4 linked regions of the Elephas maximus indicus genome follow. The protein of the gene in region 3 interacts with the protein of the main gene of each other region in a biochemical or structural test. Links are inferred from orthologs where the notes say so. Each region holds a gene or a part of one and is shown on either strand. Other genes may lie near its edges.

Evidence for each region.
Region 1: the proteins of UBE2D1 (region 3) and TRIM31 form a complex in vitro, tested with the Homo sapiens proteins (4 studies listed by BioGRID). The link is inferred for Elephas maximus indicus from reciprocal best matches to the Homo sapiens genes UBE2D1 and TRIM31.
Region 2: the proteins of UBE2D1 (region 3) and RNF7 form a complex in vitro, tested with the Homo sapiens proteins (11 studies listed by BioGRID). The link is inferred for Elephas maximus indicus from reciprocal best matches to the Homo sapiens genes UBE2D1 and RNF7.
Region 4: the proteins of UBE2D1 (region 3) and MKRN3 form a complex in vitro, tested with the Homo sapiens proteins (2 studies listed by BioGRID). The link is inferred for Elephas maximus indicus from reciprocal best matches to the Homo sapiens genes UBE2D1 and MKRN3.

Annotation. Positions count from the first base shown.
Region 1 is NC_064819.1:89,764,170-89,771,084, reverse strand, and holds the start of TRIM31 (E3 ubiquitin-protein ligase TRIM31), read left to right. Parts: upstream 1-3,898; coding exon 3,899-4,315; intron 4,316-4,943; coding exon 4,944-5,039; intron 5,040-5,823; coding exon 5,824-6,054; intron 6,055-6,915.
Region 2 is NC_064841.1:17,958,349-17,965,406, reverse strand, and holds the start of RNF7 (RING-box protein 2), read left to right. Parts: upstream 1-4,041; 5' UTR 4,042-4,148; coding exon 4,149-4,323; intron 4,324-7,058. UniProt on the Homo sapiens protein: Catalytic component of multiple cullin-5-RING E3 ubiquitin-protein ligase complexes (ECS complexes), which mediate the ubiquitination and subsequent proteasomal degradation of target proteins.
Region 3 is NC_064834.1:29,993,532-30,000,525, reverse strand, and holds the start of UBE2D1 (ubiquitin-conjugating enzyme E2 D1), read left to right. Parts: upstream 1-3,973; 5' UTR 3,974-4,191; coding exon 4,192-4,215; intron 4,216-6,994.
Region 4 is NC_064831.1:99,037,846-99,045,069, reverse strand, and holds MKRN3 (probable E3 ubiquitin-protein ligase makorin-3), read right to left. Parts: upstream 3,003-7,224; 5' UTR 2,888-3,002; coding exon 1,472-2,887; 3' UTR 486-1,471; downstream 1-485. UniProt on the Homo sapiens protein: E3 ubiquitin ligase catalyzing the covalent attachment of ubiquitin moieties onto substrate proteins.

The sequences.
Region 1 (6,915 bases), on a different chromosome or scaffold from region 3:
TTGAGGGAGAGCAAGTAGGAGTACATAGCAAGGTGTATATAAATTTTTGTATGGGAGACTGGCTTGATTTGTAAACTTTCACTTAAAGCACAATAAAAAAATAAAATAAAATAAATTTTGTTAATAATAAAAAAATAACTGCTTTTAATTTCTTTCCTTTTACTTCCTTTGGAAACCCTGGTGGCATAGTGGTTAAGTGCTATGGCTGCTAACCAAAGGGTCTGCAGTTCCAGTCTGCCAGGCACTCCTTGGAAACTCTATGGGGCAGTTCTACTCTGTCCTATAGGGTTGCTATGAGTCGGAATCAACTTAACGGCACGGGGTTTGGTTTTGGTTTTTTACTTCCTTTGAGTTACCTTTTTCCAGTTCTTTATTTTAAACTCTTAATTCATTTATATTTAGCATTTTATTTTTTTTAGAAATTTCACGTTAACTTATAAATGTCCCTCCCAGTACCACCTTAATTAATCCCACAAATTGTGATACAGAGGATTGCCTTTGTCACTCACTACTGAATATTTCGTAATTTCCATCATAATTTCCACTTTAAGCCATGTATTAAGAGCTTATGTTTTAGTTTGCAAACATATGAGTGAGTTTTTGTTCGAATTATCTTTTTTGTGTTTTTGCTCATTTTTATTTAAATTATAGAGAATATGATCTGCATCATAGAAATACTTTTTGTCGAGACTTCTTTATGTCCTAGAGGGTAATCAGTTCTTTGAGTGATCCATGCACACTGGAAAACAACACGTTATCTCTTTGTTGAGTATAAAATCCTATGTAAAAATATCTGATCAAGTTATGTTGCTCAAATTTTCTATATCTTTAAAAATTCTGTCTCTGTGTCATCTTTCAATTTCTAAAAGAGGTGATAAAAATCTCTCCATATTGTGGATTTGTCCATTTCACTTGTACTTGTCTTGGTTTTTGCTTTATGTCATTTGAGGCTATGTTTTTAGGGAGGTCCACGAAGTTCATGATCGTCATGTCTTCTTGAAGATTTTTCCTTTTTGACAACATGGAGTGTTCGTCTTTATTTGTTTAATGAATTATTTTACTTTTGTTGTTTTTGTTGAGAATCTATACAGAAGAACATAGGCTGATTCAACAATTTCTACATGTACAATTCAGTGGCGTTGATTACATTCTCTGAATTGTGCAGCCATTCTCACCCTCATTTTCTGAGTTGTTCCTCCCCCATGAACATAAACTCACTGCCCCTCTTTATTTCATGCTTTTTATCTTAAATTTTATTTTGTCTGACATTCCTGTTGTTGGGCAGATGTGAGTTAATATTTTCCTACGTCTTTTATCATCCCTTTATTTCTAGACTTCATTTCATTTTAACTTTGTTTCTTATAATCAGCATACAGCTAAATTTTAAAAAGATACATATGCTGCAAAAGACCTCTTTAAAGTTTTATAAAGCAAAGATGACACTTTGAGGACTAAGGTGTGCCTGATCCAAGTCATGGTATTTTCTATCACCTCATATGCATGGGAAAGCTGGACAATGAATAAGGAAGATAGAAGAATGGACACCTTTGAATTACAGTGACATAATTTAAAAAAAAAAAAAAAACCTTTTTTTTTTTTTTACATACATATGCGGGGCCCTGGTGGCACCAAAAGCTTGGCAGTTAAAATTCACCAGCTTCTTCTTGGAAACCCTACAGGGCAGTTGTACTCTGCCCTATAATGTCCCTACAAGTTGGAATGACTCGTCGGCAATGGGTTTTGCTATATATGTATATATATGAGCTATAATCTCATAATCTCTGTCTTTTAAAGGCTATCTTAATATATTTATATTGCTGATGATTACTGATACATTGGACTTAGCGGTGAGAATTACGTTTGCGATGTAACACACTCAGAATACATGCAGAAGAAATATGTAAAGCAGGATCATAAGGTCCAATACTCCCATGGGCCTAACTGACATGATCTAAGGAGCTAGGGGGTGGTGGGGAAAATAGATCTCCTCTCTAAAGGCATCAGAATTATGGTTATTTTTTCAGTCACCATGCCTGACAAACAAAACCTGTCCAAAAGTTAAATTCTGCTTCCAGGGGCCAGCAGTTTAGGATGTGTATAAACAGTAAATCATTATACAAATGTTAAGATGCTTTAATTCATCCTCAAAGCAAACAAACAGAAAAGCCTGGAGGAATAGACTTTCAGAAATTCTTTGACTTTCAGCAATTGCTATAATTAGGACAACGATATAATTTATTGTGTGAACTGAACATTTTGAGAATGAACGGAGAAGGTATTAATAATTACTCCAGGACAATGAAACCAGGGGCTGTCCCAGACAAATCAGAATGTATCTGGCTATAATCTTATAATCATCTGCAATCTCTGTTTGACCTAATATTGATATCCAATGAAATTAATGGTTACTTCCTGGTAAGGACAGAGGGCAGATGCTGGAGAGAACAGAGGTTGGTTAGAAGTCGGAATCCAGATGAAGACAAGTGGGAAGGAGGAAAGGTTAGGACACAATTGTGTTGAGTTACAGAAGGGAGTACAGATGATGCTAGTTAATAAATTTCCTAGTCAGGACAGAAGGCATAGGCCAAGGCAATTCAGGGATCAGAGAAGCAACAAGAATCAGGAAGAAATACAGATACATTAAACATTGTTATTGTTGTTGCTATGGAGTTAGCTCTGACTCATGATGACCTTAAGTATAACAGAACGAAATGTTGCTGGGTCCTATGCCATCCCCATGACAGTTGATAGGTTTGAGTCCATCGTTGTGGCTATTGTGTCAATCCATCTCATTCAGGGTTTCCCTCATTTTCACCGACCCTCCACTTTCCCAAAGATAATGTCCTTTTCTAGTGAAAACAAAGAATGGGCATGGAGACACCAGCATATTTATGACATACAGGAAACGACAACAAAGGACAGACTGGTTCAGGTGCTACACGGAAGTAAGGATCCATTAGGGTCAAGAACAATGTACAAATCAAGAGAATGGACTTGCAATAAATTTCTTGTTTTCCCACTGGACCAGGAATCTCCCCATGAGAGGGATGGTGGCTTTTTCCTTGTGACTAGAAATTCCCTGAGGTGGCTATCTTCCCTAGTTTCAGAAAACTCTTCAAAGTGAGCAGCCAAAGTACCTGACTGAGGTAAAGAATCCTTCCCTCCTCTCCATATGGAGTCCCTAGGTGGTGCAAATGGTGAACACATTTATCTGCTAACTGAAAGGTTGGCGGCTTGAGTCCACCCAGAGATGCCTCAGAAGAAAGGCCTGTGATCTACTTCTGAAAATCAGCCACTGGAAACCCTGAGGGGGCACAGTTCTACTCTGACACATGTTGGGTTACCACGAGCCAGAATCCACTCTCCAGCAACTGGTTTTTCCTTTCCATGTGCTCTCCCAACATCTGGGCTCTGCAGACAAGAGATGTCCAAAGCCATGGCTAGTGAACCAGCTGAACGGTCCCAACATGTGTGACCTCCAAAGGCCTCACCCAGCCTCTCCACGCCCTGCTGAAACTGACAGGAAGTCTTCTGTCCTGTGGACTTCGGTACCATGGTCTTTTAGGAATCAGTTAACTGCCTTGTATCTTTAATTAGTTCAAGGTTCAGAACAAATTGCCCAACCTGATAAGCAGTATATATCCATTTGATCTCAAGAAGTAGTAAGGTAGATTGGCCCATCTGTTCTCTCTCTTTAAAATATTCTCTACATTCTAATTCTTACTCTTTTTTTATTCGTTTACTCTTTTATCCCCCTTTCCCCCCCCTCCCTTCTCCTCTCCTTCCTTCTCCCTTGCTCAAACCAGTGTCCACAACCCATCTCCCCGCAGCTCAGAGAAACCTTCCTGCAGACCTGGTACGACTTCGTACAGACCAGAAGAAGCCCTCCTGCTTCATCATGGCCAGTCCACAGTTTGTCAGTAACCTGCAGGAGGAAGTGATCTGCCCCATCTGCATAGATATTCTGCAGGACGCTGTCACCATCGACTGCGGGCACAGTTTCTGCCTCAGCTGTATCAGTTGGACACAGGATCCATCAGACGGTTTACTCAAATGTCCCCTTTGCAAGAAATCTGTGAGGAAGGACACGCTGAGGCCCAACTGGCTGTTGATGAATCTGGTAGAGAAAATCCAAGCTATGAGTCCCCTTGAGGCACAACCAGAAAGGGAAGAACCAAGATGTCAGAAGCACCAAGAGAAGATCCATTACTTCTGTGAGCATGATGGGAAGTTTCTCTGTACAGTGTGTCGTGACTCCCAGGACCACAAATCCCACAAAGCCAACTTGATAGAAGAAGCTGCCCCAAAGTATCAGGTAAGCATTTTGGGTCCCTTTCCTGTCTCGCCCATCAGACCAGGAGCTCGGTGAGGACATGGGAATGGTTACTTCTTTCCTCTGGGTTTGCACTACTACCACCCCCGCCCCATACACTTGAGTGGGCAGTTCAGAGTCAGGCAGGGTGGGCACTCTAGGGATCTCATCATCTCTGGCATACCATTTAGTTCAAAAGTCTGAAGTGTTTTGAAGTCAAACCATAATGAAAAATGGAAAAGGCAAAAAATTTTGAATCAGAAGGTTCGGGCTCAAGTCCAAGCTCCTGAGTTTTCCATAAGACATTCAAGGAGTCACTTTACTTCTCTGAGCCTGTCTCAGCTTTCAAATGGGGCCAACAGAACAGAATTTACCTTTATAAGGCAGTCTGATAGAACAAATGAGGGAAATCCTTTATTAACCCCAAGGCACCATTCAGATATTAATTGTAATTATTCACAGATGACACATTCTTCTCCTGTAGGTCACTGAGGCCCCAGATTTCTTCCTCCCTATCATAACCAGCTCCCAGCTCCCCCCAGTCTCACCCACCTTCCCGAGAGATCAGGAGGTTTTGTGAGGCCAAGAGAGCTCCCAGGCACAGCTTAGGAAAATTGTCCTTTCCCCACAGGGACTAATTCAATTACAACTCAAGGACTTGCAGCAAAAGGAGAAGATGATAGTAGAGGTGAAAGCACAAGGCGAACGGAAGATCGATGTCTTCAAGGTAAGAAAATGCTCAGGTGTGGGTCTCTCTGTCCAACGGTCCTTGGAAGCAGATACATCTTCTCTTTCAAGCCCCTAGAATCTCTTATTACACTCACCACCCAGAAAAAGACCCAGTGACAAACAGAGTGGCTCAGAGTGGGGCAGAGTGTAGGATGGGCAGGCTGGAGGTACAGAAAGACTTGAGGCATCATGGTTTAGGATGTGTTCATGCCTTCTCCTCTACCACAACATTTGCTTGTCTGCGATAGCACCTTTGCACCTGGCCTTGCGTTATTAGAGTAGGTCAAACACTCCAGTCTCCTCCACCTGGAGATAGTGATGTAGGGAAAACGGGCTGGTGTTAGCATCAGAAATACCAATTTAAATACCTACTTCTGCCTCTTACCTACTGTCTTTACCTAGAGACTGACTCCCCAGTTAAAAAATGAAGACAGTGTAACTCCACCCAACCTCTTTACCTGTTTTGTGTGTGTGTGTGTGTGTGTGGGTGGGTGAGTGTGTGTGTGAAAGGAGATTATAAATTGAAAATGCAAGATAATTTTAAAGACTCAGGCCCTTGAAGGCAAAAATGATTAAACATTAAATAAGTTACCCTAAAACTGAGCTCATAGTAAATGCTAAAATAAGTTAGTTCTCCTCAACTTTCTTTTTCCAAATCTGCCATGGAACATTGTTCTACATTGACAACGTAAGTGTAAACAATAAAATTGCAAATTGGATGAGATGGGTGAGAGCCTCTGAGGCCATCCTGTCTTCTGAGTGTCCATTCTCCTCGCCCCCAGGCCCAGGTGGAGCATGAAAAACAAAGGATCATCAGAGAATTCAAGCACCTGCGTCAGGTTCTAGAGGAAGAGGAGAAGTTTCTCCTGTTACGACTGGACTGGCTGGCTCAGGAGGGAGAGAACGGGGGTCACTTCTTTGGCACTTCCACTGAGGCACAGCTGAACTCTCTCAATAGGCTTGTTGATTTCCTGAAGGCCAAGCAGCAAATGTCACCCCGTGAGATGCTCTCGGTGAGAATCCCTTGGGGGAGAAGCTGCAGAGAGGGACCAGCCCATCCCTAGTCACAGGTCAGAGCGTGACCACCTGGCAGAATACTGCTTGTTGTTTTTGTTAGTTGCTGTCGAGTTGATTCTGACTCATGGCAACCCCATATGTGTAGAGTAGAACTGTGGTCCACAGGGTTTTGAAGGCTGTGACCTTTTGGAAGCAGATCCTAGGCATCTCTGATTGGGTTTGAACCACCAATCTTTCAATTAGTAATACTGAGATCATCCCAATCATTTTACCTCTGGCACAGCACTGTCCAATACAAATACAATGCTAGTCACATATGTAATTTAGAAATATATTGCAAGCCACATATGTAATTGAACTTTTTTTTTCTAGTAGCCACATTGAAAGAGATAAAAAGAAACAGGTGAAATTAATTTTAATAATATATTTCATATAACCCACTATATCCGAAGTATTATGATTTAAATCAACAACAATACTTAAAAGTATTGATGAGATATTTTACATTTTTTATACTGAGTTTTGAAATCTGGCACACATTTTACACCTCAGCACCATCTCAATTCAACTGCTAAATTTTCAATGGCTGAAGTAAAACGTAGTCCTACCAAATCAATAAAGTTGTGTTTGATGGAAAAAGTATTTTACACTCCTTCAGTTTTTAAATTTAAATTTGTCAAAATTCAATAAGTTAAAAAACTCAGTTCCTCATAGTACTAGCTACATTTCAAGTGCTCAGTAGCCACATGTGGCCTGGCTGCCATATCGGACAGCATGTGTCTAGTTGATGCTCAAAATAAGCGGAGATCCCTCCTGAATTCACCTCCTACTCCCATCAGTGCAAGAAGCCATTTCTT
Region 2 (7,058 bases), on a different chromosome or scaffold from region 3:
GAGACCCTGCAGCTAGGGAAGGGGTCCCGAAATGCAGAGCCGAGTCTGGCCTCTGCCCCAGGAGCTGGTGAGAGTAACGTGGAAGAGTGAGAGCTGAGTAGGACAGCAGGCGAAGCCCTGTTTCCCTGGGTTCTTCTCCAGGTGTCCCCATTCCAGTTGCCGTCAAGTAGATTCCAACTCATGTTGACCCCGAGTGTGTCAGAGCAGAACCGTGATCCCTACAGTTTCTCATGGGTGATTTTTTTAGAGCTAGATCACCTGATCTTTCTTTCTAGGCACCTTTGGGTAGATTTGAACCTCTAACCTTTTGGTGAGCAGCTGAGCACACAAACCATTTATACATCCAGGGACTCTAAATTTCTCTACAGTGGCTGCCTTTGAGGTGCTGTCTTAGTCATCTAGTGCTGCTGTGACAGAAATATCACAAGTGATGGCTTTAACAAACAGAAGCTCATTCTCTCACAGTCTAGTAGGCTAGGGAGTCAGCTCCAGGGGAAGGCTTTGGTCTCTGTCAGCTCTGAAGGGAGGTAGGTCCTTAGTCATCAATCTTCCCCTGGACTAGCAGCTTCTCTGAGCAGAAACCCTGGGTCCAAAGGACATGCTCTGCTCCTGGCTCTGCTTTCTTGGAGGTAGGAGGTCCCCATGTCTCTCTGCTCACTTCTCTCTTTTAGATCTTAAAAGAGATTGGCTTAAGACACTCTCTAATCTTGTAGATCTCATCACTATGACTGCCCTAATCCATCTCATTAACATCATAGTGATAGGATTTATAACACGTAGGGAAATCACATCAGATGACAAAATGGTAGGCAGTCATACAATACTGGGACTCATGACCTAGCTAAATCGACAGATATTTTGGGGGGACACAATTCAATCCATGACAGGTGCTTATGATCTGAGACGAACCCTCACCGGGATGAGTCAAAGGAGGTGAATCACAGGTGTCCCCTCCAGCTGGCCCTGTCCACGCCTGGACACCCCCTCCAGCCTTGGGCTCTGTTCCTCCTCTCTCCTCTCCCCAGTGATCCTCATTTATTGCACTGAACTCTTGTACATCACTTCATGCCTGTTGTCTTTGTCATCTGAAAAGTCCTAACATACAATGTGTCACAATTGAACTCACCTCCTTACCCACAATGTCTTCATCACTCTAAAATGTCCTGCACGGTCACTTCCCACCCCCATCATCCCTCCTGGCTTCTACTCTCAAAAGTCACAGTAGCAAAGACCTCTCTCTCTGGATTTCATGCCTCAGTATAGGACATATCATTCCTCGTGTCCAGACCATCCTTCAGCCTTTCCTCCTTTCAGCGGCGTTTCCCTTCTTTCCTCTTTCCAACTGCCCAATTCTAACCAACTGGGTGCATCATATCCTCGTCCAGTTCCAGCCTTCCCTTTTTATTAGCTGTCTAGGATTTATGGCCATCTCTAATAAATGTGTGGCCGCATAATAGAAACAGAACATGTGTTTTGTATGGTTCATCTGGGTTTGCTTAGAGGCGTTTAGTCTGGCTCATGAAGTTAGCATGGTCAGATCCACGACTTCCACCACTACTACTGCTCTGTTCCTGTCGATGGCTCAAAGAGCTTTGTTCTCTTCACTCTTTTCCTGGCTTCGAGGGCCTTCCATCTCTGCCAGATCAAACTTCATCTCTTCCATCAAGCTTTCCCTCACTCTATCTGTCCTCAGGCATGTCTCTGTACCCTCATAGCACGTTACGCACTGTCCAACAAATAGCTCAGGTTTGCATCTAGCCTCATGTGACCCTGTGTCTATGTTTATTTATTTATGCATTCTTGTTTCTCCCATCAGACTCCTTGAGTCTAGTTACTCCCCACCCAAACACAAGGCTTGGGATAAGGAGTGAGCAGATGTTGAGAGACCCAGTAAGAGGTAGGAGGCTCTGAATCCCAAACCTGACACAGTAGGTGTCCACCACTAGGTAGCTGTGGTGTTATGAATTGAATTGTGTCCCTGAAAAATATGTGTTGTAAATCTTAACCTCTATACCTTAGGTTATAATCCCATTTGGGAATAGGTTTTCTTGGTTATGTCAATGAGGCAGTATTAGTGTAGGGTGTGTCTTAAGACAGTCTCTTTTGAGATATAACCTTAAGGGTAGTCCCTGACTTAAAACAACCAGGTGGTAAGTTGGTTCTGATGTAAATCAAATACCTTTTTCTTTTTTTAGTTTTCATTATTGTTGTACTTTATTATCAATATCTTTATAAATATGATCTTCAAACATCTGCCTGTGAACATCTGAGAAGAACATCAGCAAATTGTGTACTTCAACTTTGTGTGTAGTACCAAGATATAAAAAAAAAAAAAAGACTTCCTTTAAGTGTGGTACATCACAACTCATATACATCCTAAATTGGAGACTGCCTGTATAAAAGAGATTAAACAAACAAGGAAGCAAGCAGAGATGGGGAAAGAGAGATGCCAAGCCACATGAAGATCACCCAGGAGCAGAAGCTCAAAAGAGCAGACAAACAGACAAAGTCTTGTTCTAGAGCCAGCACCCTGAATTCAGACTTCTAGCCTCCTAAACTGTGAAAAAATAAATGTTCACTAAAGCCACTCATGTGTGGTATTTCTGTTATAGCAGCACTAGATAACTAGATAACTTTTTTTTTTTTTTAGATAACTAGGATAGGTGGATAGGTGGGGAATCAGACCATTCCTGAGGCTCTCTGTAACTCAGCTTTTTTTATCTTTAAAATGGAGATGTTGTCTGCTTTGCTTGGGAAAACATAAAAATATGAAACAGTTAACATGGTTAGCTGCTAGCCAAAAGATTGGTGGTTTGAGTCCACCCAACGGTGCCTCAGAAGAAAGGCCTGGCAATCAACGTCTAAAAAACCAGGCGTTGAAAACCCTATGGAGCACAGTTCTACTCTGACACATATGGGGTCACTGATCAGTTGGAACTGATTAGACAGCAGATGGTTTTTGGTTTTAGCAGCAGAGCGACCCTGGTTTCAAAACTGTCACCATCACATAATAGCAACATGACCTTTAACTTACTTCACTTCTCTGGACTCATTATCCCTACATTAAAAAAAAAAAAAAGGTGTTAAGCTACATTATAGGGTTCTCAAAGTGTGGTCGAGGGTCCCTAAGATTCTTTCAGAATGCGAAGTGCAAACCTGTTTGCAAAATAATATTCAGAAGCTATTTCCATCTTTCACTCTTATTTTCTCCTGAGTGTACCGTTGTTGTTGGGTGTCCTCTAATGGTTTCCAACTCATACTGACCTGATGTGACAAGCAGAACGGCCCCACAGGGTATCCTTGGCTATAATCTTTATAAAGCAGGTTTTTCTACCGTGGAGCCACTGGAACCGACAACTTTCGGTTAGCAGCCCGGTCGCTTAAGTTTTCAAAAGGCTATATGATCATCACTCTAATAATATCTTGTAGTGGATTTATTACTGTTATTTTTAAACGAATAAATATATTTAATTTTTTTCTTAGTTTTAATTTCTTAAAAGTAGATAGATATAACTCACATTAAAAAAAAAAGGGGGGGGTGGGTCTTTAAGGTCCTAATAATTAAAGAGTGTAGAGGGATTCAGACGCCAAAAACTCTGAGAAGCAGCGAACCGGATTTCTAGAAGATCTTCAAGGTCATTTATTCACTCAACAAATAATTGTCAAGCGCCTACTATAAAAAAAAATTTTTTTTTTTTTTACTATGGCCAGGCATTTTTTAGACACCGAGGATATAAGCTGGTGATGAAGACTCCAGACATGGCCCCTGCTCTGATGTTTATTTTGGGAGACAAGCTTTGGAAAGTGGTCCGTTTAGTGAAGGCCTAAAACAGGGCACGTGGTTCCTGCAGTCTGTGCGCCTAACGTGACACGGTAACAATAGGACTGCCCGACCCCCCCCCCAGTCACCTGGCGGGCTCCCCCGCTGCCCCAGGGCGGGGAGGCGGGGACTAAGGCCCCACCCCCGCGCCGACGAAGAGTGACGTCACCAGACCTCGCCAGCCAATCGTGGGCGGCCCCGAGCGGAGGCCCGGAGTAGCCCACGGCCTGCGGGTGGCGCTGTGGCCCGTCGGGCGGCCCCACGGAGCCGCCATAGCAGTCCTCCTCCGGCGGCCCAACGTCTCCGCCGCCGGCTTCGCGCCGCGGTCATGGCCGACGTGGAAGACGGCGAGGATTCCGGCGTCCTCTCCTCTCACTCCGGGAGCGCAGGCTCCAAGTCGGGGGGCGACAAAATGTTCTCCCTCAAGAAGTGGAACGCGGTGGCCATGTGGAGCTGGGACGTGGAGTGCGATACGTGCGCCATCTGCAGGGTCCAGGTGATGGGTAAGCGCTGCACGCGAGACGCGGGCCGCGCTGCGGCCTCCGCGGGCGGCCGGGCGGGCCCGAGGCCTCGGAAAGACCCCTGCCGGCGTGGGCGGGGGTCGGCCTGCCCCGGGGCGGTGGGACCCGGGCCACGCCGGTGCGGCTGCTGGTCCCAGGACGGTGGTCGCCTTCTCTGGGGCTGCCGGGTCGTCCAGCAGGCGCCCAGCGCCGGGTGCGGGGTTGGGGGGAGTATTCTAGCGAGGGAGGCCGGCAGTCAGCGAGTGGAAGAACAAACAAAAGTCGTTTCAAGTGGTTGTTGTTAGTTGCAGTGGAGTCCATTCAGACTCGTGGCGACTTCATGTTTGCAGAGTAGAACTGCTCCATAGAGTTTTCCAGGCTGTGAGCTTTCGGAAGCAGATCGCCAGGCCTTTCTTCCGAGGCGCCTCTACGTGGGCTTGAACCGCCAAACTTTAGGCTTGTAGTCGAGGACCAGGAGAATAAAATCGGGTGACTTAATGGGAGCTGGGAGGAACCGCCTCGGTTTGTGTGCCCAGCCCCAGTCCCATCTCTAAAAGCAAAACCGGAAAGGGGTCAGGGTAAAGGCCCTGATTCAGGAGAACTTTGATGGTTCTGGTCACACACCAAAGTGATACTCTAGAGTCATCTTCCACGTGAGCAACGCCCTCCGTCCTGCTCCTGAGAAGCGCAGAAAAGAGAAGTCTTCCCAGACATTGCGTTTCCGGATGAGGGCGAGTCGGATGGAATCGTTCGGCATGAAGGGAATACAGTGTAGTTCAAGAATGTTCGTGTTTCATGGGAATTGAGGACTCTAAGTCCGCTCTTCAGGGACAGTGCTTCTACTCCAATAATAAATGCATGTGGGCTAGAGAGGGAAAACGTGACCTCTGCCCTCCCTTCGCGCCTCCCCCGCCCCATCGTAGAATGCCATTTCCGAGATGTGCCCCCCTCTGACTCATGCCTTTGTGGAAAATCTCTTTCAGAAATACGTCTTAACCTCTTTCTGTGACATGTTCAATAAAAATATTGGACCAAGGGAAACCTGCAACAACTTAATCCGGTTTTATTTTATATGGTTTCGGTTTTAAGGTCTTCGACTACCTTGCAGCAGAGGTGCTGTTTAAATTTAAATGCAAGTTACGTTTGTAAATAGGGCATTTAAAATTACTGTCATAGCACCTTAAATGTTTCTTCGGGGTAGGTGAAAAAATCTGAGGTTTCTATGGTTTGAAAACTGGCTTGTCCTGAAAATGAGAGAATTGGAGAAAATAACTTAAAATTTCTTTTCCTTCAAAAACAAAAAAGAGTAGAACATGGTTATGTTTAATACATAACCTCTATCCGACCAAAACATCACGGTGAAATAAAGGGGGAAAAACATATTTCATGTGCAGTGCATGACTATGAAAAGGTAAACATAAAAAAAAACGTACTTAATCATAAATGAGCTCTCAGAAACAAGTAACAAAAACCTCAATTTATGTCCTCTTTTTTTTTTAGTATGCGTTTTTTATTCATAAGGGCTTGTTTCGAAAAGAATTTACAACACTGGGAATCAAAATGTTACTTTTTACTTTTGAAAAAACTTGATTTTAGACATGATCTGCTTACTTGGATGTTGGATTTAAAAGCATCTAGCTTGTTTGCCTGGAACACCCCTTCACCCCCACCCCTCCCCGCAGATACACACCTTACGTACTAGAATCACAGCTTCCCGTTGAGGTGACATTTTTAACTGATCCAAGCAACTTACACATCTCATCTTTTACAGAACAAGCTTTGCTAAAAATTTTATCCCATAGGTTTCCACTAGGGTAAAAAGAATTTATCTCTAAAAAAGCTGTTTTTTCCCAGAAGAAATTTTTAAAAATAGCAAATGGAAATGGAGAAACCTAAAATAATCAAAGTGCAACAAATAAATTTTACTGGTCTTTTTATAGTAGGTCAAAGTATGGGTTATAAATGGCTCAAATTCATCGTTAACTTTCCAATTACAGCAAGTATTCCGCTACTGCAGGAGTGATGCTGAAGGTTTGTAACAGCTCTACTTCGGGTTCAGGGACGTATTCTAGACTAGAGCTGTGTTTTGTTTATGAGGTGTTAATATCCACTTAGTGGACTGGTGACCCCAGAAAAAGTTTTAAAGACTTCCCAGTCCTTACCCCAGAGTCCTAAAAGGTGTTGCTATTATTGTACTCCTTAGAAATTTGCTGCTTTAGATACTAGAAATATTAAAGGACTTTTTTTCTTTTATCTGAAACTTTAGGAATTTTTGTTGATTTTGATTAATTTTTGATAATGAATCTAAACCAAAGCTGTAAGCATAATCCAAAGATTTTTACTTTGTGCAACAAGCGCCCACTTAATCCCATTTCTTTAATATTTGGAATTTATCTCAGACACATAAATGATGTAGTTTTGATCTCTTGCTCCAAGGTTTCCCGTCAGTCCTTTGTGACTTGGGTAACACTCTCTTCCTGGGTTCCACTCCCCTCCCTTCATCCTGAAAGGAGCAGATGGCACAGTCAGCAGATGCTGGTGAGGGAGAGGAGGAAGTTTGCTGGAAGAGCTACGTGATAAAGAGCTGAAGCAACCCCTTCGTGGCAATATGTTAATTTAGACGTTTGGCTTTACCTTTTGGAGTCTTATTTTCCTAACTGTAAATGAGGCAGTTGGGATCACCAAAGCCTCCCTTTACAGTTGTAAAATTCTCTGGTTCTGTGATAGCGCAGAATCAG
Region 3 (6,994 bases):
TTTATAGCTTGATTGTGGTTGTTGTTACATAGGTATATCTATTTGTGAAAACTCATCAAATATTATATTTAGATCTGTGTAGTTCATTATGTAAAGTTTACTTCACTAAAAAAAAAGTAAGACATTTTCTATATTTTCTTAGAATTTACGGTCTAATGAGATAGTCAACAAAAGAATATCTCTAAAGTATGGACATATTGCTTCTGGAATTAAAAGAATAATATAAATACTAATAAACCCACATCGGGGAATAGGTAGAAGAGAATATCAGAGCATGTAATGTTCGAGTTGGATCTGGAAAATCGTGTGTACATTTGTCGGGTGAATGGTGGTAGGTCATTCTATGCAGAGAGAATGCAGTGTGCAAAGGCACATGGAATTAATTAATTGGAATGTGTGGAGCTAAAGATGAAAAGGAGTTTGGGGCCCAATTGTTATGGGCCTTTTGCACTAAGCTGAGGCATTGGACTTCCATGATACAATCCAGTAGAGATTGTTTTAAGCAATGGAATGACGCGATGTGTGTGCACGTAGGATAGCCTGGAGTAGGGAGAAATTGATGCTGTTGTCTTGGGCTCTTACTGCCTTTCGAATGAAACCTCCCTATTCATAGCCCCTACTTGAATGTGTATTTTTGTTGTCTATGAAGAGATGACCAAAATTGTCCACTGAATGACCCTGGAAGTTTTTTCTGAGTTAGCTTGCAATGGGTTACCTGCAACTACTGCTTTCTCATACTGGTGGAGGCTGGATATGACCTTACTTCCCATATAATATCCCAAGACTCTCAGCATAGGAATGCAACTCCGCAAAGCCACTGCCGCCCATGTCTAGACCGTTGGACCCTCACTTACAAGGACATGCTCCCCTACAAAAAGGAATAACTACTTAGGGTCCCTTTCTCTGGAGTACAAAAATGGTACATCAAGATAGTCCAGATACACCTCTCTGTAGGAGATAAGACTTCCCTGATATTCTCTGGAAGTCCCTTTTCCCAACAGTACTTCCAAACATCGAACAAAGCTGATAGAACAATATGTAGCCACCTAACACAATGGCAATCAACCTATAGTTTGTCCACTACTTAACAACTTGTCATTGTTAGTTGCTGTCAAGTGGGCTCCAACTCATGGCAACCGCATGAACAACAAAACAAAATATTGCCTGGTCTGCGCCATCTTCATGATCATTGGAATGCTCAAGTGAATTGTTGTGGCCACTGTGTATTTTTAGTGCTTTCCAACCTAAATGGCTCATCTTCCAGCATTATGGTATATCAGACAATATGCTGTTGTGATACATAGGGTTTTCATCAACTAATTTTAGGAAGTACATCTCCAGGCCTTTCTTCCTACTCTGTCTTAGTCTGGAAGCTCTGGTAAAACCCGTCTACCATGAGTGACCCTACTGGTATTTGAAAAAAATGATGGCATAATTTCCAGCATAATAACCATAGCAATATGAAACCTACCACAGCACAACAAACTGACAGGTAATGGCTACAACTTACAGCCTGGAGTAAAATAATGAATTGTTCCAATGAGATTCTTTTGCGGATATGAACTAGGGAATACTAAAAGGCTTGGCCATTTAGCATCGGGGCAGTTACTGAAAGAGTATCAACAGAGTAGAGAAACGGCTGTGGCAAGTCTAAAACCTGTGTAACAGAAACTAGGCAGGTGCTAGAAAGAGGAGGGCAGGGCCAGTGTGCCGAAAGAAGCAAGGAGGATGAAAAGGAAAGTAAGAGAGTAGCCAGGCCCCAGACTTCCCTTAGTTTTTTGGAGGGGGGAGCAGCTTCCAAGTTAAGTTTCAGGTCCCATTAATTGATTGTTTCTATCATTCTTCCAAAACCTTACTCCCCTGGACTTTTTTATTTTAAGTTACTTGAGTGGATTTCTGTTCCTTGTTCTTTGTGAGCTATGGTAAATATTGATTTTGGCTTCCTGGAAAGCTCTCCCCACTCTCACCTTCTAGTAACAGACTCTGACTCCTGGCCGCAGGGCAGGAAGGCAGAAATGTCCAGTAGGCTTTTGGAAATGTGAGACTTAAACTGGTGTGAGAGAACGGGCTGGAAAGAGATTTTATAGTCATCACCATATAGATTAAAACAAGTAAGGAAATAATATATAGAGAGCACTTTCAATATATCAGGCACTATGTTGGGCACTTTACATCTATTAATGCCAATTAATTCCTACAATAATATATCTAGAGATTATTATCTCTACTGAAAGATGAGGAAACTGAGGCTTAAAGCATTTAAATGGCTTGGCCAAGGTAGCACAGCTGGTAGGTGTGAGAGTGGGAATTTCTTCCCAGAATCAGGGGTGGATTATTTAATAGGCAAAGTAAGCACAGAGCTTACCTCGTTTACCAAATCATCTGTAGTGAACAATTTCATTTTTTTTCACAACATCAAAGATTCTGCTTCTAGGTGCGACTGGCATCTGTCTCTCTCCTAATCCCACAGCACCTTCCTACAGAATCAAAGTCTCTTCAGATTTACAATCCCTGACAGGAGCGATGACCCAGTAAGCAAAGCAAGCATGGGTTTACACGGGGTTTACTTGCGCTTACTTGCTAATCTGTAGTGAGTAATTTCGCGTGGGTTTCACCATTACAGATAAGTAAATAAGCACAAGTAAGCCCGTGCTTACCTTGCCTATTGGATAATCTGCTCCTACCCGTAGTAGTGCTTCCGTTACAAACCCCATGTTCCTCCAGCCACCCTGCGCTGCCTTCTAGTTCATGGAATTAGGAAAGGTTTATCTCCTTGAAATATACTGACAGTGAAGAGGATAGAGGCTTGGAACTCTGGGGCACAGTGACAGAAAGGAAACCCTGGTGGCATAGTGATCAAGAGCTACCAAGGATACAAACAGTATATTTGGCGACTTGAGAATAAACTTTGCTGGACTAGGATGGGAAACCCTGGTGGCATAGTGGTTAAGTGCTACGGCTGCGAACCAAAAGGTCGGCAGTTCAAATCCACCAGGCACTTCTTGGAAACCCTGTGGGGCAGTTTTACTCTGTCGTATAGGGTCACCATGAGTCCGAACCGACTCTCACGGCAACGGGTTGGTGTTGTTGGTTAGTGACAGAAAAGGGAAAGTCAGAGAAGACCCAGCTATCTTGGGGCTATATATAGAAGCCAGAGGCAGTGAGCCTTTTGAAAAGCAAAAGGATGGCCAGCAATTAAATGCTGCAAAAACATCACGAAGAATAAGTAGTGAATTGGATTTGGTACTTAGAAATTCAAGAGTGATCCTGGTGAAAACTAATTCCACTAGACTGAGAGCAGACGCCAAGTTTTAATGGTTACACAAGTCCCTAGTGTTGAGGGAAGGAGTGTCAGTGGACTGTTCAGCAGGTACTGTAATACGAAGGGAAGGAACCAATGGTGAGGTTGAAGGGAAGAATTCAGAATTGAAGGGGTAATTTTCAAGGAGGAGCTTGGGAAAAGTACCCAGACCCATTGCCGTATGCTGAATTAGCATTGGACGTAAAGGGCGCCTTTTTTCTCTGACATTAGGAACTAAGTAGGTAAGTAAGAAGTCATCTAATAGGCACGAGTTGTGCATGTGTGGAGTGAAAAATCGAGGCAATTCATATATTTTAGAAGAGTGAAATCTGTGACGATAACAAGATCAGCTGTAGCACATTCTGGCTAATGCATTAGCTTTCTCAAGATTTTTAAATTTCTGTAAGTGCTTTACTGGCTCATTTGTTAGCCCCCATTTTACAAATGGAGAACTCCAGATTAAGTGACTTGCTCCAAGTCAAACTATAGAGACTAACTCTAGAACCCCAGGGTTCGCTGTTGAGGTCAACAGTTAGTCACCCTCCAGCGCCTGGGGGGCAGCCTGGGCAGCGGAGCAGCGGGCGCAGAACTACACTTCCCAGTGTGCCAGGCGGGGCGGGGCGCGGGCAGGGAGGACGCAGGCTCCTTCCCAGAAGCAAAAGCGGAAACAAAAGAGTCTCGCCGGCGTCCCCGCCCGCACACTCGCACACTCGCGCTCGGGCGCACACTGTACAGGCACAGGCGCGCGCAGCAAGCCAGCGAACGGCGAGCCGGGGACCCACCGGGCTGAGCCAGCCAAGCAGCCAGCGAGCCGAGCCCGCGACCATCCCACGCCCCCGAGCCCGCAGCCGCCCCCCGCTGGCCGGTGTCCCCGCCGCCCTCCCCGACCCATGGCGCTGAAGCGGATTCAGAAAGTGAGTGCCCGGGCCGGGCCTGCGGTGGCGGGGCGGGCATCGGCCCCCTGCCCACGCAGACCCGGCCGAGGGTCCCGAGAGACGCGCCGGGAGGGCACGGGATGGGAGGGTGGGCCGGGGAGGAGGCCAGGGGTCGGCGGCGCCGGCGGGGTCAGCGAGCAGCGGACAGGTGAGGTGGGAGCCCGGGCAGGTCCCTGGTGCCTGGAGATGCCTGGGGACAGGGAGCCCCCTGCGCGCTGGCTCGGGAGCTGCGCCCAAAGCCGACGGCTGGAGATCCTCCTCGATCTCCAGACCTTCCCAAAAACCTGTGCCTCACGGTCACGGCTGGATTTTGCCCTACACCGGGCTAGTTTTGGCTCCTGTCACGCTGTTTTCTCCACGCTGTTTCTTATGCCCGGCCTCTTTTATGTTCTTGCTTCTCCGGGCTCCTGGAGAGGGCTAGGAAGGTGTGGTGGGCCTGCAGCCTTTCTCCTTTGAGCTGTTGGATTTGTTCTTTCTTTCCTCTGCGTTTGGCTGTTGCTCAGTTGCCCGAATGGGCTGGAAAAGCCCATTTGGGGGCCGAGAAGCCAGTCTTTTCCTCCTGCTCCTTCTATTTTGGTACCTCTGCTGCTGCCACTTGAGGTCACATAGCTGTAGTGAAAACATAGTTGCTGGTACACAACAAGATGACCTCCTGGCTGTGATTCACGGTGACTCAAGCCAAACAGGTTTTTTTTTCCCATGATAAACTTATATGTAAAGTTCGAGACACAACAGAAACTGACACAAATTAAATTGTTTGATGCTTTGACACATGGGTATAGAATGAGGAAGAAATGTGTATATTCGTTTAACAAATGTTTACCCATCCCTGTTCTGTGCATGGAGTTGTCTTCACTTGCATATTGTTCATTGCTACTGTTTCAAATGTGAATATGTTACTGAACTGGGGTTTGGGCGTTTTCTTTCTGTTCACTTTTATTTCTTGTTGGGTTATTGGCCTGTTCACTAACCCGAGTTTTAGGTGTTATTGTCCCTGTTAGGAACACTGCTAATTTATTTTTAAACGGGGAGTGCATTCAGCAAGTTAAGCCAACAGACAGCGTGTTTCGTAAATGAATGTTTATCAACTTTTCGACCATAAATCACTACAACAGTAGTATATGTTGGAGTCTCTGGGTGGAGCTAATGGTTAAGGCACTCAACTGCTAACGATAGGTTGGAGGTTCAAGTCCACCCAGAGGTGCCTTGGGAAGAAATCCCTGGAGATTTACTTCTGAAAGATCAACCACTGAAAACCCTGTGGTATACAGTTCTACTCTGACACACATGGGGTCACCATGAATCAGAGTTGACTCAATGGCAGCTGGTTACTAGTTATATATGCTAGAGCAGTGATAGAGATATACATATTGTATCTTGAGTCACATCCTTAAGCCCAGAGGACAGCAACTTTTAGACCCAGCCATTTTTCTGTTGTTGTTCAGATACTAAATCTGTTAATCACTGTTATTGATTGTGCATTTAAGGGTCATCTCACTACAAAACATATAGCAATCAGCATTTATTGAGTAATATGTTTTCAGATTTGAAGATGATGTAATTATACATTTTTTTAATTATACATTTTTTTTTTTCCCATATAGAGAACCCTAATTTTGAAACTCTAGTCAGCACCTTTGTCATACCTTACACGGTAGTGTATTGGTTCATATTTGGATCAAATACATTTCCGAAGGAGGTTTTAAAACTCAGTAGTCTTCTTTCTTAGTTGTGAGAATTTTTCACATGACATTGCATGTACCGTAGCTTTTAACTACGGCAGAATCACAATAAATGGATACTCAAAGAAATAGGGGTACTATTTGTAAATATCACACTGGGTAACTCTTGTCAGTTACCATACTGAGCCAGTGTTTTTGGCTTATATTTATATTTTTAATATGGCATATGCCCACATCATAATTTTAGTAAATATTAGTTATTACTAGTTTATAACAAAGTTGTCCTCTACAAAAATATTATTTACATAGAATTGAGGTCAGACCAGTGTCAGATTGTTATTTTGAAGGAGACGCTTGGGGTCACATAACATCGCATCTCCATGTGTCTGTCTTTGGCTTCACTTTTCTGTTATCAGACAGATAAACTTTCACAAATCTCCTTTGTATTACTTGCATGTTCAAACCATTCCCTCAAACCTGGGGGGAATTATTTTGATTGATTGCCTACTCTTCCTCCCTTCTCTGCCCACCTCCTGGATTAGAAGCTGATTCAGGGTAAGATATGCTGTTTGCCATGAGGATGGTCACAAAGCACTCTTAGAGGCCATCACTATAAAAAAAAAAAAAAATTTGAATCTTGCATATTCCCGTAAATGAAGATGTTTACTAACTTGTGACCTTTTCTTTTTAAGCCTGTTAAAGTAACACTGTCATAACTTTTAGGTCACTGGGTTGTAATTTTCCTTACTGTATCAAAAGTGTCAGACTTTAGAACTGTGCAGAACCTCAGAGAACCCTCCAGTGTACTAAGACTCAAGAGGACAGAGGCAGGGCACAACTTCTAGGGTAGTGTACCAGAATTACCTGTAGGATATTTCCAGACTGGCCTCACGGCTGTAAATGGAGAGATGTTGAATCCCTCAGATATGCTGGAATGGAAAGAAGGTTGAGAACCACTGATATTCTAGTTTCTCTTTATTTGTCAAAGAAGGAATTTGAGGACTGGCGTGGAAGAGTGCTTTGCCCAAGGTTAATCTCTTGCATGATTTGACATATTTCAGAATGCTAAAAAGTCA
Region 4 (7,224 bases), on a different chromosome or scaffold from region 3:
CATTGAGGTTTTGGATTTTTCTATTTTTTTAATTATTTATATGTCTTAGGCTATGTTATTAAATGAATACAAAATTAGAAGCTATATATTCCTGGAAAACTGTAATTTTAATGTTTATATAGCATTCTTCATTTCTGTCCATGAATAACATTAACTTTGTCTTTGCATTTGGTTAACATTCTCCCATCCTATTACTTCCAGTGTTTCTGTATGCTTGTATTTGTGTAAACAACATAGTTTCATCCCAATTTTCATCAAGTATGATAATCTGACTTTTAGTTTTATACTGTTTTCAGTTAGCCTAATTAAGATATGTTATAAATTTTCTGTATTAGTATTGTATTTAGCTTTTTGTCCTAAACTTCATTCTTTTATCATTCCATTCCTGTATTCTGAACGATTTCAGTACTTTTTATTTTTCTACTTTCCTCTTTATAATCTTGTACTTATATTTTTAAAACTTTTGTCAAAAGTCCCTTGTTTGGAAAGGCTAGGGATAAAATATTGAACACAAAGAACTGCATGTCTGAGGTCATGACTGTGCTATTACAGAGGACAATGAGATGACACTAAACGCCACAGGGACATGCATTTCTAATTGCCAAAGTCATGCTTCGTATGTCCTTTAAGATCTGTGTCTGTCACATTTGGCCAACTTCACTTGAATTGTTTCATTAGATGCTAATAACTGACACCTGTACGGTACAGAAGGACTATTCACACACTTTGCACTCACACAATAGCCAATCCTGTTGCTCTTTGTTCTTCAGCTTACAGCTCTGCATTTATTTTATTATGTAAACACAATTATGTTCACATGTATGTTCTTGAATATATATTTCAAATACACTACTTTCATACAGACATACATGCAGACATATATATATTTCTTAAAGATATACTTTCTAATATAAATAATTTTCACTTCAAGTTAACAGGATAAAAACATGTAAACATATGCACTTGATTCAAGTAAAACACGAAACCACAAAATAACTGCAATATCATCAGTGCACTTGACAAGGGATGACAGAAGGGACAGGCATGTAAACAAAGAAAAATATGCAGCTGCGCCACAAGATCACACAATGATCCATTTGGTCAGTTAAGACTCCTCCTTTTACCCTGTCACAGTTATTCTTGAGAGACTTCAAAATGAGTGTAGAAATTCTGTAAACACTAACCTAGAACTGAGTGTATCTTGTTGAAAAAAGAGATTACAAGATAAACTGACAGCAATAATCATTTCACTGAACAGTAATTTTAAAGACTTTTGTTACTTTTTAACACGGCAAAACACCATAATCCTAGCGGGAAAGATAAGAGGAATGGGTAAGAAAACAGAAAGGGACACTGTACAAAAACTGTCACAACAGCCCCTGAAAGTGACAGATGGGTCTGTAAAAGGAACACAGGCAAAATAGCAGAGAAGAGGGCCTCTACAGACTAGACCACATGCCACAGCACGATGCTACGGAATCAAATTGAAATACTTTTCAAGCTCAAAAAGAAGCAACTCCCACTGGTAATCAGAAAAGGGGACTTTATAATTCCCCGTGGAAAGGAGATACTTAAACAACACCTTGGCCAGGCGAAGCCTGATAAGCTCCTTTTCATTGATCTTAAAGGACACGCTGCCCTCCACAAGCTGATTCCAGTAAGTGCTGGAAGTTCCAGCATCCTGCTTTTGGGATTCTTCTCTTTGACGCTCAGGGTTAACATGCCTGTAAAAACAGTGGTTCCCAAAAGGGCACCGATCTCTGCTTTCCATAAAATACCTGCAAGGCTTTTTGCTCATTGCTTTCTTGTAGTCCTTAATCAGCTGCTTCTTCTTTGCCTCATCCTCCACCCAGAACTCACTGGGAATAACAAGGTGGGAGGTGACCCTGCACTGTGGGCACGACTTGACGACCCTGTTTTGAAACTGTGTGGCTTTCCTCCACACACGGATACACCTCAGGCAGTAGGAGTGGTTGCAGTTGGAGAGGATGCCAAAGCGGCGAAGGCCGGCGCTGGGTTTCTCATAGACAATCTCCATGCAGATGCCACACACCTTGTCCATACTGCTCTGCACGGCAAAAGAGAACTCCATATTCCTCTCGTGCGCTTCTATACAGGCCCTTACGTGCTCTGCTCTCTGGGCTTCATTCACGGGGTGCAGAGCCTGCAGCCCACACATGTCGCACACCTCTCCGTGGAGATACATACAGTTCTCCCCATCAGGGCATTCTCCCACGGCAGCGTACTGGCAGAGCGGTTCCTCTGGCGCCACCGAGATCCGTGCCGAAGCCTGCGGGGCAGGCAGCGCCCAGCGGCCCCGGTAAGGCTGCCCCGGAACAAACTCAACAGCATCCGCCCAGGTTGCCGCAACTGCTCCGGCTGCTTGGCCGCCGGCATTCCCGCTCTCCGTTTCAAAAGCTGAGCCAATCAGCGGCAAGTTGTGACCGGAAGTACCAGGGGAAGCTCCCGCCACTTCCGGAGTCGAGGCCTCCACTTCCGCAGCCGCGCTAGGACCGCCGTCTGCAGGGTCCCGGAGCCCCGAATCGGGACCCTGGCTAGCCGGCTGCCGACCTGAGAGGTCGTGGGAGTAGCGGCACTTCTCCCCTTGCTTGCACGACCCATGTAAATGATACCTGCAGGTCACTAGCTTTGTCCAGGTTCCGACGCCGCGGTCCGGCACCCGTAAGGGCCCGGCCCCTCCCCCTGCACTCTGGACAGGCCGTAAGCCTCTCGCACGTCTAGGGACCGACCTTAGTGCCTCTGCAGGCTCCCCGGAGGCCGCGGACGCCGGTAGGCCGGAACCGCGGGCATCTCCCCCTTCCGCCCCGGCACCTGCCTCGGCACCGGGGGTCCTGGGGGCTTCTGAGGGAGCTGCAGACTCTCTCATGGCCTCCAGGGGGCTGAAAGTTACCAGGATGCCCCACCCCGGCGAGCCTTCCCTTCGGGCGAGAGGCCGGGCGGCCTCTTGGGCCGCCGGTTCTCTTCTCTAGGCGGTCCGTCACTTTCCGTCGTCCCCCTTGCTCCCAGCTCCCTATGACTATGAGTTCCTACGTACTTCCGTTCGCCAGCGAGGCGGACACTTCCTGTGGTGGCGCCGCTTCTGCTTTACCTAGTCTCTACTGCAGGCGTTTTCGGCAGACTTCCGGTTTTTTTCCACCGTGATAGTTTTGCGGCGCCTCGGCTATTTTCACGGCCTTGGCCCTGTTCGGCGCTTTGTCAGTCTCAGATGCGTCCCCCCGTCCCAAGTTCCGCTTATCGCATTGTCTCCTTTGGTGGATATAATCAAAACACTTTGAGGTTTTATATCGCTTCTATTTTTCATTCACGACAGCTGGTGGCGCAGTAGTTGAGCTCTGGGCTGGTAACCAAAAGATTTCCTTAATGGGAACCCACCAGCAGACCCCAAGCAGCTCCGCGGGAGAAAGATGTGGCCATTTGCGACAGCCTTGGAAACCCCATGGGGCAGTTCTAGCTTCACAAGGGGGTTGGAGAATCATTACCAGCATCAACAGCCTGAGGCAGGTTGCTTTGACGTGGAAGTCAAACCTACCTCCACCCTCCAACTTTTTGCCTAGTGCTGACACCAGCTGTTCCTCTCATGGGACTCTCTACTTCTCTGCTGTGTTTGATAAATGGTTTCAGTGGCCACACAGAAGTCTGTAAAGACTACAGCCTTGGAAACCCTATGGGGAAGTTCTGCTCTGTCCTATGGGGTGTCTCTCTAAAGCGTAACTTTGAGTCAGATGATTTTGTGGTTTTGATTTTATTTGACCAGAATCAGGTGCATATGTTTACATGTTTTATCCTGTTTAGCTTGACATAGAAATTATTTATGGGTAATGGATTTGATTTTTGGCTTTGAGTATTTTTCACTCATTCAGGTTTTTTTAAATATCTTTTTAAAATCACAAACCCTTATTTATATTTAAAAGTTCTTCTCATAGTTTCTGCAACATTTCATCCATGATTTTTATAAATTCTGTTTCTGTTCACTCATGCCCATTAGTTTGTTTTGTTTTGTTGTCTGATAATTCTCACTGCTTTAACCTTTTGTTTTGTTCCGTGGACAAAATTATTTCTTTTAGTTCCTAATGGCTGGAATTTTTTTTTTCCGTTTATAGATGCAAACAGTTTTCATTAGTGAGGCACTAGTAGGGAGCACTTTGAATCTTAGGCAACTTTTAGCACCTGTATTGTGATTTCTAATTTTCACTTCCCGGCTGTGCCCCAGACTTCTTCCAGTCCTAAGGCTGGCCTTTTAAGCCTCTGTCCCCTGAGTGATCCTGGCTTTTATTTTTGCTCGGCTGGTTTAATTCATCATAGCCCTTTATTTCCATTCCTTTTTCTCTTTCTTTTGAATCTCCTAATTCACCCAGCTTTGTGCTGTATTGTGGCAGAACAGCCTTCAGAACTTTGACTCTACTATACATCGGGCAAGTGGTGCTTTTTAATTTCCATATGTGTGAGCTCTTTGTCATTTTGTAGATACGTTTTATTAATGAACTTGTTTTCTATTACTACTTTGCTGAGAGTAGTTATTATGAATGTATACTGAATACTAATTTTCTGTGAATATTGATAGATGATCATTTTTTTAGTCTTCATTGTCTTAATGTGATTATTGACACATAGATTTTCACATATTAGCTTGACATTTTTACTAAGAATAAAGCTTTGCTGTGATGATGTGTCTTTCTCTTGTATATCATTGAATTTTATTGGCCAAAACAAGTTTCTTACAGGGAATTTTATAGCCTAAATTTAAATTTTAAAGTGAGAGAAAGTCTGACTATTTCTGATATAATCATCTAGGTCAATAATTTAAATCCTAATTAAGTAGATGGAGACGAGGCAAAGAGATGGAAAGTGTAGAAATGGCATGATGTCAGGGTCAGACCTCCTTCTCTAACTTCACAAGGGGGTTGGAGAATCATTACCAGCATCAACGGCCTGAGGCTGGTTGCTTTGAGGTGGAAGTCAAACCTACCTCCACCCTCCAACGTTTTTGCCAGTGCTGACACCAGCTGTTCCTCTCATGGTACTCTGTACTTCTCTGCTGTGTTTGATAAATCGTTTCAGTGGCCACACAGAATTCTGTAAAGACTACAGCCTTGGAAACCCTGTGGAGAAGTTCTACTTTATCCTGTAGGGTGTCTCTCTAAAGGGTAGCTTTGAGTCAGATGATTTTGTGGTTTTGTGTTTTATTTGACCAGAATCGGGCACATATGTTTACATGTTTTATCCTGTTTAAGATTGACATGAAAATTGTTTATGTGTAGTGGGTTTGGCTTTTGGTTTTGAGTATTTTTCATTCATTCAGGGTTTTTTTTAATATCTGTTTTTAAAACCACAAACCCTTGTTATACTTAAAAGTTCATCTCATAGTTTCTGCAACATTTCATCCATGATTTTTATAAATTCTGTTTCTGTTCACTCATCTTATGTCCATTAGTTTTTTGTTTGCTTGTTTTGTTTTGTTTTTTGTCTGAAAATTCTCACTGCTTTAACCTTTTGTTATGTTGTTTCATGGACAAAATTATTTCTTCTGGTTCCTAGTGGTTGGAATTTTTTTTTTTCATTTATAGTTGGAAACACTTTTCATTAGTGAGGCACTAGCAGGAGGCACTTTGTATGTTAGGCCACTTCAGCACCTTTATTGTGATTTCTAATTTTCACTTCCCTGCTGTGCAGGAGCCCCAGACTTCTGCTAGTCGTAAGGCTGGCTTCTTAAGCCGCTGCCCAGTGAGTGATGCTGGCTTTTATTTTCGCTCGACTGGTTTAACTCATGGCAGCCCTTTGTTTCCATTTATTTTTTCTCCTTCTTTTGAATCTTCTAATTCACCCAGCTTTGTACTGTATTGTGTTAGAACAGGTTTCCAGAATGTTGACTCTACTATACATGGGGCAAGTGGTGCTTTTTAATTTCCATATATGTGAGCTCTTTGTCATTTTGTAGATACGTTTTATTAATGAACTTGTTTTCTATTACTACTTTGCTGAGAGTAGTTATTATGAATGTATACTGAATACTAATTTTCTGTGAATATTGATAGATGATCTTTTTTTAGTCTTCATTGTCTCAATGTGATTATTGACACAAAGATTTTCACATATTAGCTTAACATTTTTACTAAGAATAAAGCTTTGCTGTGATGATGTGTCTTCCTCTTGTATATCATTGAATTTTATTGGCCAAAACAAGTTTCTTACAGGGAATTTTATAGCCTAAATTTAAATTTTAAAGTGAGAGAAAGTCTGACTATTTCTGATATAATCATCTAGGTCAATAATTTAAATCCTAATTAAGTAGATGGAGACGAGGAAAAGAGATGGAAAGTGTAGAAATGACATGATGTCAGGGTCAGACCTCCTTCTCTAACTTCACAAGGGGGTTGGAGAATCATTACCAGCATCAACGGCCTGAGGGTGATTCCTTTGAGGTGGAAGTCAAACCTACCTCCACCCTCCAACGTTTTTGCCAGTGCTGACACCAGCTGTTCCTCTCATGGTACTCTGTACTTCTCTGCTGTGTTTGATAAATCGTTTCAGTGGCCACACAGAATTCTGTAAAGACTACAGCCTTGGAAACCCTGTGGAGGAGTTCTACCTTTATCCTGTAGGGTGTCTCTCTAAAGGGTAGCTTTGAGTCAGATGATTTTGTGGTTTTGTGTTTTATTTGACCAGAATCGGGCACATATGTTTACATGTTTTATCCTGTTTAAGATTGACATGAAAATTGTTTATGTGTAGTGGGTTTGGCTTTTGGTTTTGAGTATTTTTCATTCATTCAGGGTTTTTTTTAATACCTATTTTTAAAACCACAAACCCTTGTTATACTTAAAAGTTCATCTCATAGTTTCTGCAACATTTCATCCATGATTTTTATAAATTCTGTTTCTGTTCACTCATCTTATGTCCATTAGTTTGTTTTTTTGTTTTGTTTTTTTTGTCTGATAATTCTCACTGTTTTAACCTTTTGTTGTTTTGTTCCGTGGACAAAATTATTTCTTCTGGTCCTTAATGTTTTGAATTTTGTTTTTTTAGTTTATAGTTGGAAACACTTTTCATTAGTGAGGCACTAGCAGGGAGCACTTTGAGTCTTAGGCTACTTTTAGCACCTGTATTATGATTTCCAATTTTCACTTCCCTGCTGTGCAGGAGCCTCAGACTTCTAGTCCTGAGGCTGGCCTCCTAAGCCTCTGTCCCCCGAGTGATTCTGGCTTT